2 linked regions of the Coturnix japonica genome follow. The protein of the gene in region 1 binds, or shares a complex with, the protein of each later gene. Links are inferred from orthologs where the notes say so. Each region holds a gene or a part of one and is shown on either strand. Other genes may lie near its edges.

The links.
Region 2: FAM8A1 (region 1) and UBE2J1 share a complex: the UniProt entries of both Homo sapiens proteins name them as parts of the HRD1 complex. The link is inferred for Coturnix japonica from reciprocal best matches to the Homo sapiens genes FAM8A1 and UBE2J1.

Annotation. Positions count from the first base shown.
Region 1 is NC_029517.1:66,994,104-67,003,790, forward strand, and holds the start of FAM8A1 (protein FAM8A1), read right to left. Parts: upstream 5,625-9,687; 5' UTR 5,597-5,624; coding exon 5,071-5,596; intron 3,751-5,070; coding exon 3,630-3,750; intron 1,388-3,629; coding exon 1,264-1,387; intron 1,054-1,263; coding exon 914-1,053; intron 644-913; coding exon 499-643; 3' UTR 1-498. Other genes in the region: CAP2 (adenylyl cyclase-associated protein 2), read right to left, coding at 9,554-9,637. UniProt on the Homo sapiens protein: Plays a role in the assembly of the HRD1 complex, a complex involved in the ubiquitin-proteasome-dependent process of ER-associated degradation (ERAD).
Region 2 is NC_029518.1:68,956,505-68,965,519, forward strand, and holds part of UBE2J1 (ubiquitin-conjugating enzyme E2 J1), read left to right. Parts: intron 1-18; coding exon 19-150; intron 151-900; coding exon 901-985; intron 986-2,957; coding exon 2,958-3,063; intron 3,064-4,173; coding exon 4,174-4,303; intron 4,304-8,296; coding exon 8,297-8,428; intron 8,429-9,015. UniProt on the Homo sapiens protein: Catalyzes the covalent attachment of ubiquitin to other proteins. Functions in the selective degradation of misfolded membrane proteins from the endoplasmic reticulum (ERAD) and is essential for cells to recover from ER stress.

The sequences.
Region 1 (9,687 bases):
AAACACCACTTTCTTTCTGTGCATCTGTCACTGTAACTCACTGAACGCACCTTACTCTCCAATACTGCAGTTCCCTTCCCCTCAAGGAGCCAGCAACACAACTCAGGCAACTGCTTGGAAAACATGATTTTCTAGTTAGTTACCTCCAGCACCCAAAGCTTTTCTTTAGAGGTGGATGGAGTATTTCTCAGTATCCGCTTTCCCCACAGGATGACGAACAGAACAGCACCGTTCTGCAGTTATTAACACACAGCCGCTTGTTTTCAAGCTACGGTTAATATCGTTTCTCTCAAAATTCTTTGGCATTTGTGAGAATTCCAATACTTTGAAGGTAGCTGCTGGCACCACACTGGAGCAACCCCATTTCCTTTAGCTTGGGAATCGTTCTGCTTTCATTTGGGCTAAAGATTCGGATGGTCATCTCGGTTTTGGGGTGGGTTTTTGTTCATTTGGGAACGGTATTCAAAAAACAGTCTGGGAGTCTGTCATCTTTTGCTATCATCTGATTCCATTTCTTCTTACCACAATAGTTCCTGCTACGATATCGTAGGCTGTTCTGTTGTGCTGAAAAAACAGCAGCGTAATGAACGCAGGAAAAAATGAAGCGATGGAAAAATTCTTGATCAAGGCTCTTATTGTAGACCTGAAAGGAGAATAAAAGCATTCAGTGCCTTCTTTATTGTCAACTTCCCTGCTTTCCCCAAAGCCAACAACCTCCAGAGTTTAGAGATTATCTTACCACCTAACCTGGAAAATATTCACAACTAATTAACTGTTATATTGAAAGAACCTGAGAATACTTCTTGGCAATCCAATGCCGGCAAAGGCCAACAATAAAGGAAAGGTGCATTTCCTTCCAAACCACATTTTCCATCCCATTAATACAAAAGCAAGGTAAGCTAAGAGCACTTACGTTGTCATACTGACATTAGAAGACGGAATGACTAACACACGGCTGGGTGCAACGAGGACAGACGTATCACACGTCACAACTCGCAGCCCGAGCAAGAACTTCCCTGGGGTTGCTCCTCCTGCTCCCCAAATACAGATGATCTGCGAAAGAAAACTTACTTCAGTTCCACACAGAGCAGTGTTATTGACTAGTATGGCAAACATGGCTTTCTTCAAAAATAAGTGAGGCCCACAGCTTCACAGAACTCCAAGTAAAGAGGGCTTTACTTCATTGGCCACTGATGATACTTTGTTGTTTATCCGAGAACTGATAACTATGAACTACAGCAGTTAAAATGCAGGAGTAGTTACCTCGTAGAAGCAGACTAATAACCTGTAGATGAGAGCCACTATCATCATTTTCTGCAAGTCTTCCATGGATGTATCTTCATCTATTTCCTCTATTATGTAATGCATAGCAAATTTAGAGATGTCTCTGTTGAAAATAAGACAACTTTAAAAAACAACCCACAAAGCAAAAAACCAAACACGACACAACATCCAGAACTCATTTGTCCCTCCTAGTGCTGGAATTCTCTTCAGCTTCTGTGACATTGAGCCACCCAATACAATTCCTAACACTGGGAGGTGTTCAAGACCAGGTTGGACGGGGCCCTGGGCAACCTGATGTAGTAAATGTGTATGTTTGGTGGCCCTGCCAGGCAGGGGGGTTGGAACTACATGATCCTTGAGGTCCCTTCCAACCCGGGTCATTCTGTGATTCTGTGATCTGTGATTCTGTGAGGTTTCCTTCCAAGTTGCTGTTCAGTTTTTCGTTATGAAAAAATGCATTGTGAGCACATTTGCAACATGACAGTCTATGGAGTGAGCTGCAGAATCGTTAGGAACATTCTCATTCTTGAGAGATGCACAAGGGATTCCACAATCATCTACTTACACACATGGATACAACTATCTTCATTACAGGGTGAGGGAGATGGGAACTCAATGCATTGCTCTCTTATAACTGCAAAGCAGTTTGCAAGTCACCAGACAAGCAAAGGAGACTTTACCCCCTTTGCATGAGCAGGGTTTGCCTTCTCAGCAGTTCCAAAATGCTTTCAACCAAACAGTTGAAACTCTCAGCCATCTCCCCTAACAAAGCAATGCAAAGCTGCAGCTCAGAATCAGCTGTGTATCTTCACAAGTCAAACCACAGATGTGACATCTGATAAGTGGAATGGGCGCACTTGCAACGTGTACTTAGGAGATGACTTTTCCGTGAGCCATCTCAGTTATAATTTCTATTTAAATAGAAAGGTGTGGGCCTCGTGAAAACAAGCCACGCACGCACCACTCGCTCTCCTCTCTGTTCAGGATCAAAAAAGATAGGAATTGAGAGAATGGTAGTACAGCACAATCTGCTCTTCCCTTTAGTACAAAGCTGGCCTGAAGTCTTTGTCTTCAGTGAGGATGTGCCTTACGTGACAGCTCAGCCTGGCCTCCAGCACACAGCTCACCAGGGGGAAAAAAATAGTTTCTGAAGCTACTCGTAAGCAACTTTGTGGCTCTTGCAAGAGCAGCAATATCGAATATACTGTACAGTAACTCAAAAAGATTCTCTTTCAATCACCATTTTTGCAGAAGTGATACACATAAAGCTGTTCTCCAGCTTTCCCGTATCTTCTGTATCATTTTTGGCCTACAAAACTGAGGTAGAAATACAAGCTGCCAGGTTAAGTTGGAGGCTTTGGCAACTGAACAGAACTGAGAGGTTGGCGTTTCATTTGCCTGCTTATTTGAACAGTGACACTGATAATTTACACTGACATTTACTGCTTTGGATCTAAGCCTCTTCCACGCACTTTCAAGCAGCAGTTCAACCTGTCCAAAAGATGTTATGTCTGTAGTATCAGCTTACATCCTATCAACATTTGGAAGGCTCTTTTAGCAGATACCTTCAATTCTGAAATGTAAGTGTATGGACCATACTAAGCCTTGATCTCCTCATAAGATTGAAATATGTGAATATATCAAAGTAGAGGAACTGAATCAGCTACGGAATAAGGAGACAGTATTTAAGATAATTAATCACTAAAAAAAAAATCATAGGATCACAGAATGGCCTGGGTTAAAAAGAACCACGATGATCATGTAATTCCAAACCCCCACTATGTGCAGGGTCACCAGCCATCAGACCAGGCTGCCCAGAGCCACATCCAGCCTGGATAAATACATCCAGTATAAAAACATGAAGACTTTCATTCTGGTATATAGCTGATGCATATGATGCTTATTCCATTTTTCCCTACAGCTTAGGCACAGTAAAGCCTACAGGCTTTAGGTTTCTAGCAACCTTCCAATTGATGCATATTTGACATCATCTGAAATAAAAACCTTTTATGTTTTTTAATAAGGTTTTCCCATTGAGATTTATTTTAAGAGCGTTTTAAAAAAATTCTTGCTAATTCCCTCAAAAACTGAGACTGCAAGTCAGCCTAATTAATCCTTAGTAACAAGTGTGTGAGCCTACAAAATGACTCCACAATTCCTCCCCTTGCCATCAGCTGACCCCAGGTCAGATCTAAAAGGAGGTATCCCATAGTGGGGCTGTTTTCTCAGCCTGTGTCTGTTGAAAAAAGAGATGTCAGATGCGTAACCATAGCACATCGTGACACCTCAAAGAGCACGAAGACCTTAATGCTGTATATAGTAAACCTTTAAATCGTTCTACTTACTTGATCCCGCTGAGGTGCATAATACTTAAAACAATGGTTGCCTTTATAAAGAACAGAATGAAGAAATCCACCATCTCTGCTATGAACCTGTGTGCCAGCGAAGGGATAATGAACTCCCGACCTGCAACAGAAACAGTTTGGATTACCCAGATTGTACTGCACTAAAGAGTGCAATTCTCTCAAGGATGCTTCACATACACCTCTCTGGAGAACACAACCAAGGGCTTTATCTCAGCTCACACCAAGAGTTCTTCTAAAGATGTCTATCAGTTAAAGCACAAATCTGAATTCCTTCAGTTAGATGAGCCTTTGGGTCAGACCCACAAATAGGAGCCCACGACACTCCTGTACTTTTAAATGCAGTAAGCACAATAAAGCAGTGATTATGCAAGAGCAAGTTCTTAACGCAACTCAGCTTGTATCATCCCTTCATAGCTGTTTACGCTGGTAACTCCACATCGACTCTATCTGTCAAGTAGCATGATTTACATAAGGAGTACTAAAATAGATCCCATTTCCATTGCTGAAGCATATCCAAGTTGTCAAATAACTACTAATGGAGGATTCTGTACCTCAGCCTGCCCTGGCCCAGCTCAAGCAGGTAGCAGTAATCAGGCAGTAATAAAGTGCAACTGAAGCCTGAGCGTGCTTTGTTCTCCTGTGCTCAGTGTTTAATACTGGTGACCTGCTACAGCAAGGCAGGGAGGGGCAAGGGGACAAAGCACCTTAAGCCACGGTTACCATACATCAAGAGCTCGCTGCCACCCTGCTGCCTGGCATACAACTAACATCGGTGTTGTGACACTCGGCTGCGTGCAGACTGAGCCGGGAGAGGCTGGGAGAAGCATCACCTGCCCTGCTTTGCGACACTCCAGCTGGAAAAGCACGACGTTAACATAAGCTGTCACTGATTTCAGCTTACATAAGCACACAGGGCTGTAAACTACAGCAGCACCGGGATGGGAACACGCCCTCTATAGCCAAGCTTGCCCCAAGGACAATAATCCACAGCAGAAAAGGAGATATAAACACTTGAGCTGTTCCAGATGCATCCCCTCGCAATGTGGAGCACAGCGGTCGTTTGTGACTCTCCCCTCACACCTGTGAGACTGAGCTCACACCGACGGCACAGCTCTGCCTGCTGCACTTTGCCCTGCACAGGGCCAGGACTCCTGGCTTTTCTCCATGGGCCTCGGCAGCGCAGCTGGATGGCTGCCCCGTCCAGCAGCACTCACAGCACTGCCTGGCAGCCCTGGACTGAAGGAGGCAGCCATTAGCCATTCCCCCACCCAGCGAGGAAGCACCCGCACACTCCCATGCCATCAGACAGTTTGCTTTGCTCTCAAGCAAACGCAAACAGAAGCAGTGCTATACGTGCTCCGCAAATATTTACATCCGAAACAAACTCCTGCGCCAGGCCCCGCTGAACGTGAGCACTCACCTGCCGGCCGACCCGCAGCCTCCCGCTGGCCAACACCGCCGCTGCCGGAGCCCGGAGCCGCTCGGGGCAGCGGGGACAGCCTGGCGGTCGCCGCCGGCCAAGAGGTGTTGGGGGCGGGCGCGGGGGGAGCGCGGGGCCCCGGCGAGGCGGTGGCGGCAGGCGGCGGGGCGAAGAGGTAGAACGGGCTGTAGTAGGCGGCGGGGGCGGCCCCCGGCGGGGCGGCGGGAGGGGGCGGCGGGGCGGTGAAGCGGGCGGCGGGGCCGGCGGCGAGCAGTGCCGGCAGCGAGCAGTGCCAGCTGAGGTAGCCGCAGTACGAGTCCCACAGCCACTGGTGCACCCGCCGCGCGTACTCCGCCGCGCTCAGCGCCTTCCCCGCCTCGTCGCTCCCCGTGGGCGGCGATGGCGACGCGGGAGCGGCCTCTCCGCCGCTGTCGCTTCTGTCCTGGGCGCCCCCGGCCGTGGCCGCCGCTCCGGCGCCGCTGCGGGACGTGCCCGGCTCCGCGCCGAGCTCCGCCATCTCCGGCATCGCCGCTGACGCTGAGCGCCGCCCGCACCGCGCATGAGCCGGGCTGCGCTTCGCCTCTCCCACAGCGGGGAGAGGGGTGAGCAGGGGAAGCAGCTTCTTGTATTGCCCTTGTACTGCCACATGGTATCGCCCAGCGCCGAGGCACGGCTGCGCTTAGGCCGGGAACCGTCTGAGAGCTCCCGAACTGAGGGTAGATGTAGCTCCACAGCCGTGCCGGCTGGATGCGTGTAGAGCCGCTGCGCCCTACTTCCACCATTCCCGCCTCCCTGTACCACAGTGAGCGCCTCAGGAACCGCCCGACATCCGAAAGAACACGGGTGGTTTATCCCACCGACACCTGTGGCAGCAGTAAAAGGGTCTAATCTAATTTGCTAACGCTGGGAGGATTTGTGGATTTGAACTGCAGGCTTGAAATGGCTCACCTTCCTCTCTTCTTAGCTCTGTTAAGTATGAGCGTCACGATCAGTTTGTTTTTTATGACGTGCTTTTAATGGAAATGGTGCTGTGGAAATAGCGGTGTTCAAAAAAAAACAATCTTACATTATTCCAACAAGTAGGTGTTTTTTTCTTCTTCCGCATTTGTTCCCCTCAAGCCTTTTACCACGATGATCTCGTCTTAACAGCGAGGCTTACAGAGCAGTTTCTCAGTCCCTTGGTAGCACGCGAATTCAGTGTTAACAGGAAGACCTCGCCATTGCCCGCCCCTCAGCTGCTCTCTGCCATCTGGTGGAAACGCGGAGTCACTGCTTCGGTATTTCCAGTTTCCACAAAGGAAGCGATGATTTGAGCAACTGAGCCGATATCGCACAGCCGTAAGGATGGCTGAGGCTGCCAGGGTCCTCCCTGCCCACCTGGCCCCAGCCCTGCCCGAACACACCACGGCCAGGAACCTTCTGGAGATTTCCAAGGAGGAGACTTCACAGCCTGTGGGCGGCCTGTGCCAGTGCTCCGTCACCTGCACAGCATAGAAGTGCTGTCTGGTGGATAGACAGAACCTCCTGTGTGTCACTTTGTGCCCAGTGCCCCTTATTCAGGTGCTTTCTACCTGAGAGGCCTGTCTTGGGTTTGGCCCTTCTCCTTCCTGCGCTTCATTAGGTCCTTTTACAGAGGTGCAACTTAAGAAAGCGTGAGATCTCACAAGAAAAACACTGCCTACATTTGAAAACTTAGATCAGAATCTCTCGTGTACCTTACCAGCTGATTTGTAACCTAGTGAACATATGACACAAGCGGGTTTATAAAAATGAACAGGTTAATTACACATTCTTTCCATAACATTATGTGCACCACAGGTACTGTTGTCTGTTTGCATTCAGAGCAGAAGCACGACTTAAAAGCAGCGCGAACCAAGCTGAAATATGTGCCATATCTCATGTGGCAACGTGCAGTAAAAAGAAGGGATTGATAGAATGTTAGGGTTGCTCAGCATTTAGTGCCTCATTCCTTGCTGGAGTCCTATTCCACTGTCTAACACTGTGTGGACTTCACTGGCCTTTTCTCCAGTTACCAGCATTACCTTGGTTTCTCTTAATGTAAGGCCTCCTTCCTTTTCAACCTCTGCTCTCTGACAGAGTCCTCAGGTGTGGTCAGACCTTTGAGCACACAGTGTGACTGCACAGGCCTACTTGCCATTAAGAAACTCATCAATGATTGTGCTTGGGTCTTGCACGTTGCAGGAGTGTGAATGTTGGAGAGAAGGCTTAGCCATAAGGGAGTTTGCTCTGAGATGTTTAAAAGAAGATTGATAGAAGTAAAGCAACCTTGAGGAGGGAGCTGAACTCTTTGGAAGAACTAAAGGAGTTTGTCTTTGTAGCAAGTCAGATCTGCCTCACTGTTTTCTGTTTACCAGCATGCGTTTTATACTTGTTTTGTGCCATACCTCCAGATATCATTTTAGGGAACAAATTATGATTATGATTTGAAGACTAAAAAATCCTCCTGCAATCCTTTCATCACAAGTGCATGATGCTGTTTTTCAGCTATGGTAAACATCTAAGTAAAATATGGGACGGACTGCTCCTGAGTTTGTTAGCACAGGAGGGATACATCCAGAGACATGTAGAGAAACAATGGGAAAAGGTGAAAATAGAAGGTAGAGCTTATAAACTTGCATGGGATGGGTCATGATCATCTCTCTAGACGAAATCTCTGGAAGATCTGGGTGTACCTAGAAATGAGAACCACGAACAGCTGGGTTCCGTTGCTGTCGCAGAAGTTATATGCACAAAACTTCATGTCTGCCAACGTGCAACACAGCCACTACTCACTGTCAGGTAGGTGGTGATGATTGATGAGCATGGTGATGTTTGATGAGATGGGAGGAGCAGCTGCTTCTCAGTTAAGCTTTTGAAATGGCATTTAAGATAGGGAGGGTGTATAGGACAAACAGTACAGCTCTGTAAGCTCCGAGCAACTTTATATTTAAACAAGTACACTTTCCTTTTTTATTTCATAAGAAGTTTACTGTTGAAAAATGGTGTATACTAAGGCAGACACATTATACATATAGATTAAAGATCAGATAGCAAAACCTTGCGGAACGAGCACTACTGTTGTGTTACAGAGGGTTTACAATCAAAGATAGTTAAAAACCCTCAAAGATTAATGTACTTTCAAGGTAAGTTAGGCACAAAATTTAGCTTGTAACTAGCTCTGCAAGCATCTCACTTTGATTTCACCATTACAAAGTATTACAAGTGATCAAAAACATATGCTGGCTGCAAAATTTTAAACTTTTATTGTACTATGTGCTGAAATAGTACAAATGTATACAAGACTCCACCTTTGTTAAAAAAGCATGTACAATAGGGACTATAGAAAGTAGAATTTAAGGGCTGAGTGGGCTTTATTTGGGCTGAACCGATAGGTCTATGGCTTTGATTCGTAGATGAATTTGAAATTGAGTAAGTGTTAGAAATGCAGGGAAGAAACAGAAAGGTATTTTAATCAATAGAAGCTATGACAGCTATAATAGATAGATTTTAAAGGAACTTTAACAAGCAAATTAAGTGATATCTGACATGTGCCTCTCGCCCTGGGAAAACCACCGGCCTGGTGGTGGTATCTCCCCTGCCAGCTTGTTGTATTGCAAGGGTGCAGTTTGAAATTTTAAAGCATGAGGGATTGTCTCAATAACAACAACAAAAGATACCTGTGGAGCAAAAACTTGCAGGTGATTTCCTGCAAGGTGTTATGAGCTCATATGAGGCTTCGGTTTCAAAACAATTCCTGATTTGCAAGAAATGAGAGGGCAACAGCAGGTCTGTATGGACCAGAATAAAATCCTCTATGAAACACAGGGATCTTTATATTAGAAAAGTGTTAGATTAAAAATATCATGTTATTTCATCTTCCATTAGGAAAATGTATTGCTGAAAGTGATCCTTTTTTATTTTTTTGCTTGCTTAAAAAAAAGAAAAGATTGCTGCAGAACTACAAGGAACTGTCATGTAGTTCTTTCCAGGGGTGTGTTTGTACTGCGTTGTACAGGAGTAACGTAAAAGGTGAAAACAAACATCTTAGAGTCTTAATACTGGTTTTGATTAGCGGAAACATAAAAAGGAATGCCCAGAAGCGATGTGATAACCAAGTGTATCATGCAGTATTTTGGCTTAACGAATAAAGTGTTTCAAACCAGTGACGTGACTGGAAGGTGGGGGGTTTCAAGCCATCACATTCACATGACGTCATGGAGAAGTAAAACCGTAAGTGAACTGTAAGTAAAACCGTAAGTGAACTGTAAGTAAAACCGTAAGTGAACTGTGGAAACTTGAGAAATGCTGAGGTGCCTAACAAAAGCGTGCCGGACGGGTTATTGTTTCTAGCATGCACAGCTAATTCTTGAAGACCTAAGACAGCAGTGGGAGCTACTGCTAGTTCTAGTTCTTTACGTTGCTGCGTTGTTTCTGCTGGCTATGGTCTGATCACGGTCAGTGAGCGCTGAGTGATGTTAGGAGGTTAACCCACGATCTCTGCAGGTTCAGTGACCAACTTAGATCCATCCCATGCTGTCTTGAACTGTTCAGGAACCGGAAATTCTTTCTGTTAAGAAACAAAAGCAACAATGATGATTAGACAAACAGCGGATACCT
Region 2 (9,015 bases), on another chromosome or scaffold:
TTGCTGTGGTCATTTTAGGACAATCTTTTTGAATGGCACTTTACTGTTAGAGGTCCTCCAGATTCAGATTTTGATGGAGGAATTTATCACGGACGGATAGTACTTCCACCTGAATATCCCATGAAACCACCAAGCATTATTTTGCTGACGGTAAGTATATGAAAGATTCCTAGCACCTAAGGTAACATTATTTTTATAAGACAGGGGTCATAGTACAATTAATGCTGCCAGTTTAGTGACAGAAGTCTTTGAAAGTGACTTTGGTATAATGTAGTTAGATGAAGTTTTGGATCTACAAGTGGGAGACTTCCCCAAAACTAATACTGATTGCTTATATGGATGTCTAACCTTCCTGTTGTCTCTGTGGATCACAGAATAATAGAGTAATTATGGTTGGAAATGACCACTAACATCACCTTGTCCAGTTGTCAGCCTACCACTGCTGTGCGCAAGGCTAGGCTGGATGGGACTTTGAGCAACCTCGCCTAGTGGAAGATGTCCCTGCCTATAGCATTGGAACTACATGAACTTACATAATCTACGTGGTCTCTGTTAATGCGTGAAAAACAGATCTATGGTATGGGTGAAGGCCTGTATTTCTGTGTAATTTCATAGAGCTATAGACTTTCAGAGTCTCCACACATGTGTGGATTACGGGAGCAACAGAGAAGCCATTATGTCACACTGGGACATATGAGGTATCAGGTAGGGGTCTCTTTGTGCATGAACTAAGGTAGTTGGCAGACTTCTTTGATTCAGAAAGCTGAATGCTGTATTTGCAAGGTTGGTAGTAATACAGTTATCAAGTATTGTTTGCATATGGATTTATGATATTTTTGATAACTTGTTTTCTTTGCACAAATTAACTTCACGTTTTATTATATCCTCCTTTCTTTAAAGGCTAATGGCAGGTTTGAAGTGGGGAAGAAAATTTGCTTAAGCATCTCAGGGCATCATCCTGAAACATGGCAGCCTTCATGGAGTAGTAAGTAACAAATTATTTGGAAATCATCTTTACACTGAAAAATCTCACAAAGAATGCTACAGTAATACTTCACTAATACTTCTCTCGATGCTTGGACTAATTCTTAGTATGTGTGCTGAAACTCCTCTTATGTGCTTCCCTGAATTCGAGGAAACTCTGGAATTGCTGTACCTCTGGTCTTCACTGAGGATTGAGCAGAAAAAACCCTCTTCTGTGGTTTTGAGTTCATTAATGTATTTATTCACATTGGTTTGTTTGACAGAATGTGACTGAACTACAAGGCAGTGCTGCTACTGACAGGATTTTAGTTATTTATTATAATATTAGGAGAATAAATGGAAACGGCACTGAAAAATATTGTCAGAACTGCAAATATTAAGCAGAACAGAAAGGTTGCCTTCCTAGCTCTGAGTAAGGATATGAGATGCAATTTCTGCTGCTTGTGTTCTACCCCATGCAAACACACCCGTGTTCTTAACTGCAATGAATAGAGCTCGTAGTGGAAGGGGAGGCAGATTTTTGAGGGAGCAAAAGGATGGGAGAGCTGTAGAAATGTGAAGTTGTGAAAGAGGGACACAGGAAGTTTTGGAAACTGTTCAATAAACAGAAGCTGAAAAGGTTGAGAAACTGAGGAGTGTTGGTAAGCTGTTAATGCTTGTGCATCCAAATAAAAATTTCTTGGACTCGTTAAGATATTCTTAACTTTTAAAAACCATTCTTACATTAAAATATTTTAAATTCCATTACTTCACTTTTTTTCCCCTTGGTCTAATCACTAAAAGCAGCCTGAGTGTCAATTGAGAGGAGAGTAGTCAGCTTTTATGCTAATGCTTTACCTCTGAGCGCTCCAGAGGAAAGTCATGGTCTAAGCTGAGAATAACCGAATGTTTTCTATGCTTTTTTTTAAAGAAGTTTTATTATCTGAAGAGTTTCAGAGTTGGCACAATTGATCCAAGGTGATGTTTCTGTGTGTGTGTGTGTGTGTGTGTGTATGTGTATGTATAACTTCTATCTTCCTGAGTACAGGGTATTAATTATTTCTTTGGATATTGAGTAGTTTAAATAATGTTGATAAGATCTTAGGAATTCAACTACTGTAAAATCTTTTACTTTTTTTAAAGAGCACAAAATAGTCTTTGGAATAGGAATACATACGTGTTCTGTATTTGAATACATACGTGAATACATACACATTCTGTATTTATTTTGTGGTGCTTGGTTCATATGATATTTATTTACCAAATCTTCTGGCAAACTGCTTTGAATTTTTAAATCTCACAAACATATGTAAAGCAAAATTAAAGGATAAGTATTACAAAAAAAGAGATGTTCTGAGTGATCTGAGTTATCTGTATTTAAGTTAGCTCCTTACCCAACGTGACAACATAAAGGGAGCAAACTGCAATATACTTCATCACAGAATCACACAGAATCACAGAATTGTAGGGGTTGGAAGGGACCTCTAGAGATCATCGAGTCCAACCCCCCTTCCAAAGCAGGCTCCCTACACCACGTCGCACGGTAAAAAATAAAGGGAAGCACAGGTAAAAGAAAGTTGCTGAGCTTCTATGCACCAAATTGCAGAATGTGTGTCTGATAAGCAGTATACCCAGAAAGAAGGATGCCTTATGAATCTGCATCTTTCTTCCTTCTCATTTATCCATCCATTTTTATTTGGAGCATAATAGTAAAGTTTGGAACTCTGTGCTGATGTGGTATTTTTGTGACAGCTTAGCTTTCCTTCTCTGTGTTGACTGATGGTAAAATAAGACCTTGACTTATAATGGGAAGTTCAAAAAATGGAAAGTCGTGTTCTTTATAAAGAAACAAACAGTGCTGCTTGTATGAAATTCGAACTGCTCGTTTGGACAAAACAAGTTTTATGGGCAGTACTGCTACTCTTCTCACTCATTGCAGAGTAAGATAAAGTAGCTGTTATTTCTGCAACTTTTTATCTGTTTTCCTATTTTAGTAAGAACAGCTTTACTAGCAATTATTGGATTTATGCCAACCAAAGGTGAAGGAGCAATAGGATCTCTGGATTATACGCCAGAAGAAAGAAGAGCTCTTGCCAAGAAGTACGTATTAACTTTGTTACTGTGAAAAATACACATATGCTGTCTTTTTTGAGTAAGGCATTGAGCAGTAAATAGTGCAAGTCAGAATACTGTTCTCTCGCACTTGTTTTACATTTAAATGACAAAACAAACAAACAGAACCAAAGCAGTGGAATATTTTGTGCCTTACATCTTTTTATTTTCCTGAATATTGTGCAAGTTGAGGACTTATGGGTGAACAAATTACTTGGGGAGGGCTGTGTTCCTGCCAGCATTGTGTGGTCAGATTAGAAGTTCCTCTGTAATTTGTTTGGTGGGGATGTGAGTAACATTGTTATACAGTGGTAATCGTACTGCTTAAGGAAATTTAATGTGATAGAGTAAGCATGAGTGATAGAGAAAACAAACAACAAGGCCTCTTTTTGCTCAGGAACATAATAAAACAGCAACAACAAAATCTGAAGTAATGGCTTCTGAATAATTTTAGTAAATTAACTTAAAATTATATTTGGGATTTTAATGGAACTGTTAGCTTGGTAGGCATGACTTTTAGTACTGTCTTCCTTTTAACATCCTTGTAGAGAAAAATTGTGGCACATAGCATAGGTAAGTGCATAATGAGTTGGACTGAGAACTGGCTGAGTAGCCCGGCTCAAATGTCTGGTCAGGGGTATTGAGTCCAGCTGGAAGCCAGTCATTCACTGCTGGTGTACACCAAGGGTTGATGGTGGGACCAGAGGTATTCAACATCATTAATGACCTGTATGGTGGGACACAGCGTGCCCTTGGCAAGTTTGCAGGTTATTAAGAACTGGGAAGAGCCTCTGAAATACCAAAGGGTTGTGCTGCCATCCAGAGGGACCTGGACAGGCTGATGAAATGGGCTGAGAGAAATCTAAAAGTAGATCATTTCTAAATGATAAAGATAATATGTATTTGTAATATAGATGATATTAAACATTTTTCAAGGTAATGCAGTTTATGGGGGTGAGGGGATGGGAAAGATGCTTTTAAAGCTATTGGTCTTGAAAATACATCTTTATATGGACTGCTTTGCAAGTACTTTGCTTACCAAGCATACAAGAACGTTATGAGAATGTGTCATTCTGTGCTCTGTCATTTTGTGGCCAGGTCACAAGACTTCTGTTGTGAAATGTGTGGCACATCTATGAAGACAGCCCTCTTACCACTAACGTCAGGAAGTGGGTCAAGCCAGGCAGACAAGGAAGCTAAAGAACTTGCCAGACAAATTAGCTTCAAGGTGGAGTAACTGTTTAAACTTTTTTTTTTGTGGTCTGCTGTACAGAATCTGGGTGCGGGTGGAGTGGGGGGGAAGTAAATTGCAGGAAAAAAAGTATTTCATAAACCTTCATAAATTACTACATGGAAACTTTTTAGTCTTCTAGGACAGACTGAAGGAGAAAAATGGGAATGGATCATCTCTGGAAATGTGACGGTTAATAAACTGTGCATCTCAAGTACTAATTAATTAGCAATAATTTCAGTTATAGGTACTCTGGTAAAAACTGCGTATGTTGCTTTTAGTTCTTTGTTTTCACTAATAATGTGATTAAATTCTCCAGACTTTGTCAGAAACGTGTTAGGGAAATTTGGACAAAGCTAACCTACATTGTTTTTCTCTTTGTGATTTTTATTTATTTATTTGTCTTTTGGTTTATGGAAGGAATAAAACATGTTGTTACTGAAAAATGGTTGCAGATGCTTTTGAACTACTCTGCAGCTGAAGATACTGAAATTTAAACTCTGGTATGAAAGTTGCTTTTGCCCCAAAATGTGTTTTCTAGCTTATGTTTTGGTGAAAGTAAGGCTTGTTGAGCAAAATCTGTGCCTTAGGAAATTGCATGTCTTGCATGTACAGTATTTTTTCTTCATTGGGTTTTGCACTAAACTCTGAATCCTTCCTCTGAGGAAGGGCGCTGTACATGAATGCAGGGATCAACAGTGGAATATAACGTGACAATGTGGCAGCGGTATCGAATGCATCCTCACTCAAGGAAGGAGTGCTAGTATGACCTAATATCACCCATTTTTATTCTTTACGCTGTCCTAAAGACTGTGGGGTATTTTTGTGTGCTGTGAGAGTGAAGATTACCTCCTACTGAGCATCGCTGCCAGTTTTGAAAGACAGGTGCATTCCTTTGTTATCTCACACCTACACGTGTTAATATAGGAGTCTACATGTACTGCTTATGATTAACAACTCATCCAAATATTTCCGAGGATGAAGAAGTACAGACATAGAATTTTAAAGCTGAGCTACCCAGAAAAGCAATTTAGATTCACTGCTCATCTTCTTTACAGTGTATAAGCTTTAAAAAGTGTGAGTTCTGTTTTTTTTTAAAGCACTGCTAGTCTTTATTGCAGAAACATCTCGGTACAGTTTCTTTTCTCATACTTGTTTTTTCCATTTTTTGAAATGAAAGATTTGAGGGTGTCAGTCTTTAAAAACCATTGATGTGTTCTATATGTCCATATATTTAACTCAATTTCTGAAGGGAAAAAGCACTAAAGGAATAAGTAGATGTGATTCATGTTTTAACGTTCTCTTTACAGTCTTTCAGTCTGTTTTGTTCTAATGCAAGGTAAATTGGCCCTCTTTTGTGGGCATTCTTCAACTTCCTTTCTCAGATTTTTAAGTTTCCTAAACCTCTGTTGTGCTTGGCTCTGTTATTATTCATGTCATGTTAGACTGAGACATACAACTTGTGTGGTTATAACAAAAGTACTAGCAGGGTAATAAAGAAGTTTTTAATAATTTGAGTATATTTCATGTCAGCTTACGGGATAGGATTTCTCATTGAATAGCCAATTGGATGTGTAATTTGGGTGAAACTCTCTGTTAGTAAAATAATATAAGCAATATCTACTTTATCTTCGTCCTTATAGAAGAGATTCCCTAACGTTTTCTAGATCCTAGGATTATAAGAAATTCTTTCATACCAGCCTTAAGCAAAATGATTATTTTTTTTAAAATACACGTTTGGTCTTGAGACAAAGAGTATGAAATTCAAGAGGAAAAGGTGTTCCCTTAATTTTCCTGCTTCTTTGAGCTTATGTGTTTGATAGGGATCTACAGTTTTTATCAGAATAACATTGACTTGCAAGTCTTAGGCATTTTAGATGCTATATTCCATAAATTCCATTTCACTTAAAAGATACATGACTAATAGTGTATGCACTTATTCTGTAAAACAATATGGTATATCCATGTGTTGCCATTATAAGGCATATAATTATAACAGTAAAATTAGTTTTCTGTCCACTTTCATTATTATGTTTAAATTTGTTCATCTTCCTGTGAGGTCTCTATTTTCCTGGGGCAAAGGTAAGTCTTGGAGAAAAAAGACTAAGCTGGAAAAAGATGTTAATTTAGTAAACTTTGGAGTGTATATATATATATATATATAATATATATATAGTGATTTTATATATATATATATATATATATAATCATAGAATCACCAAGGTTGGAAAAGACCTAAAAGATCATCCAGTCCAACCGTTCACCTATTACCAATAGCTCCCACTAAACCATGTCCCTCAACACAACATCCAGTCTTTCCTTGAACACCCCCAGGGTTGGTGACTCCACTACCTCCCTGGTCAGTCCATTCCATATATTTTTAATTACTGTGACTTTAGTATTCTAGCCTTAGTACTTTATTAAACTAAAGTAAATCACATGCGTGCTAAAGAAGTAGAAGAGCAGTGGTCACAGTTTTGAGGAAAGGAAGTACCCACTGAATGTGAAGAGGGGGAAAGAATTCACCACACAGACTGTCAAACACCACAGTACCATTCTTAGACAAACTGTAGCATCTCCAGCTTTGGAGGTGCTTAAAACTTGAACAGACGTGACCCTACTTTAAGGAGACAGTTGGATCCAGTGATATCTAGAGGTCCCTTCCAGCCTAAATTATTCCATGATTCTGTGTGATATGATTCTAATGTGGATCAGAAACAAAATTTGTGCTGTCCTAACTATCTCATATTAGAGTCCATAGTAGTCAGTGTAAAAAGAAGTCAATATTGTTGTTACATTATAAGCAATTTTAAATCTATAAATAATCTTCAGATCATTTCAGTGGCAATAGTATTTCAGGAAAATCAGAAAATGAAGTGTCAGAAAATGGGGAATTTAATTTCCCCACACAAAACAGCAGTGTGGAAGAAGATTGTTATTTTATGGTCTTCTTAGCTTGTTATCTACATGACTGGTTGGTTTCTAATGTTTGTATTTCATGCTACCTTTACTTGTATTTCCATTTGAAGTCAAGTAGCAGTCCTTAAATTTGGGACTGTAATCTCTGAAAGAAGTTGAGATCCTGATACAATATTGGGGAGATATGATGTTACACTCTACAGGGAGAGACTTGCTTACAAAGGGATTGGGGGAGAAAAAAAAAAAGATGATCTGGTCCTGACCTTTTAATTTTAAGGTTTTTAAAATTTGGATATGTTTATACTGCAAACTGTTTTAATTCAGGAGTATGGTGATATGTCCCTTTCTATCCCTAATGGGTTATTGCAAACATACTGTTTTAGCAGGAGGCTTATTAATGATCCTCTGTATGTTCCTACAGGTCTGTCAATATCTCAAATTTCCTAAAGTATAAAACGTTAATTCTGGAAAATTATGCTTAGTAGACATTTTATATGTGCATATATAGTACAGTATTATAAGGATATGTTCATCTACCTTAGTTCTTGCACTGAATCTTAATGAAAACTTAGTGCCTGATACAGGGTAGCACCCCACAGATGTACACTTTCTGTCTTTGAGGCAATCTTAGTACTCAGACCACTACAGCAAACTTAACATATAACTTGAGGCAAATTAGCCTTGCTGAGAAACAGGCTGTTAGTCATGTGACAGCACGGTCAGCTCTTAAGGATCATGAGAAAGGGAAGTTTTATAAAGCTGGTGTTATTTCTGTCACAATTATCTTTTGAAGAATTTTCTTTTTTGTTCTGGTCTCATGTTGTTTTATTAATGTTATGCCTATTATTATGCATAAACAAATAGAACTAAGAAAATCCAAAATAAAACTGGGATCTTGTCTCAACTGGTGTTTATTATCTGTAGTCTTATGAAATAAGGGTTAAATTTTCATAAACGTGTTGATGTGTTGAAATGCAGTTGGCATCGTTCTTGGAATGAATTTCCAAGGAAATTTAAATCTTCTTGGAACATTGATCTCATCTCTGAAGTGTGTGCATGTATTCCTTGCAGGCAGAAGTCAATTCGTCCAGGAAGTCAGAAGCAGAACCTTCGAACTCAGCAGGACTGAACCGCTCTGCTACTTTACCTGAGCCCCAGCAGGATGGTGCAACTCGAGCATTCCGGGATCCAGCAAGTGCAACGGTATGGTCCATGTCTGAGTTTTATTGGTTATTAAATACATGATGTTACACTTTCATTAAAGTATTATGCCCTAGGTACTATTTACCATCTGCAGAATTATAAAGTCATAGAATGGTTTGAGTTGGAAGGGACCTTTAAGATTGTGTAATTCCAACCCCCTGCTATAGGCTATGCCTCCCTCTAGACCAGGTTGCTCAAAGCCCCATCCACCCTGGCCTTGAATGCTCCCTGGGAGGGGTCACCTGGGAGGGGCCTTGCTGGGCAACCTGTTCCAGTGTCTCAGCACTCTCACAGTAAAGAATTTCTTCCTAATATCTAGTCTAAACCTACAGTCTTTCAATTTAAAACTAATTCCCCTTGTCCAGTTGTCACGACATGCCCTTGTACAAAGTCCCTCCCCAGCTTTTCTGTAGGCCCCCTTCAGGAAGGCTGCTATAAGGCTTTCCCCGGAGCTTTCTCTTCTTTAGGCTGAAGAGCCCCAGCTCCCTCAGCCTGTCCCCATAGCGGGGAGGAACTTCAGCCCTCTGATCATCTTTGTGGCCCTCCTCTAGACCTCATTCAACATCTTGATCTATCACAGATTTTAT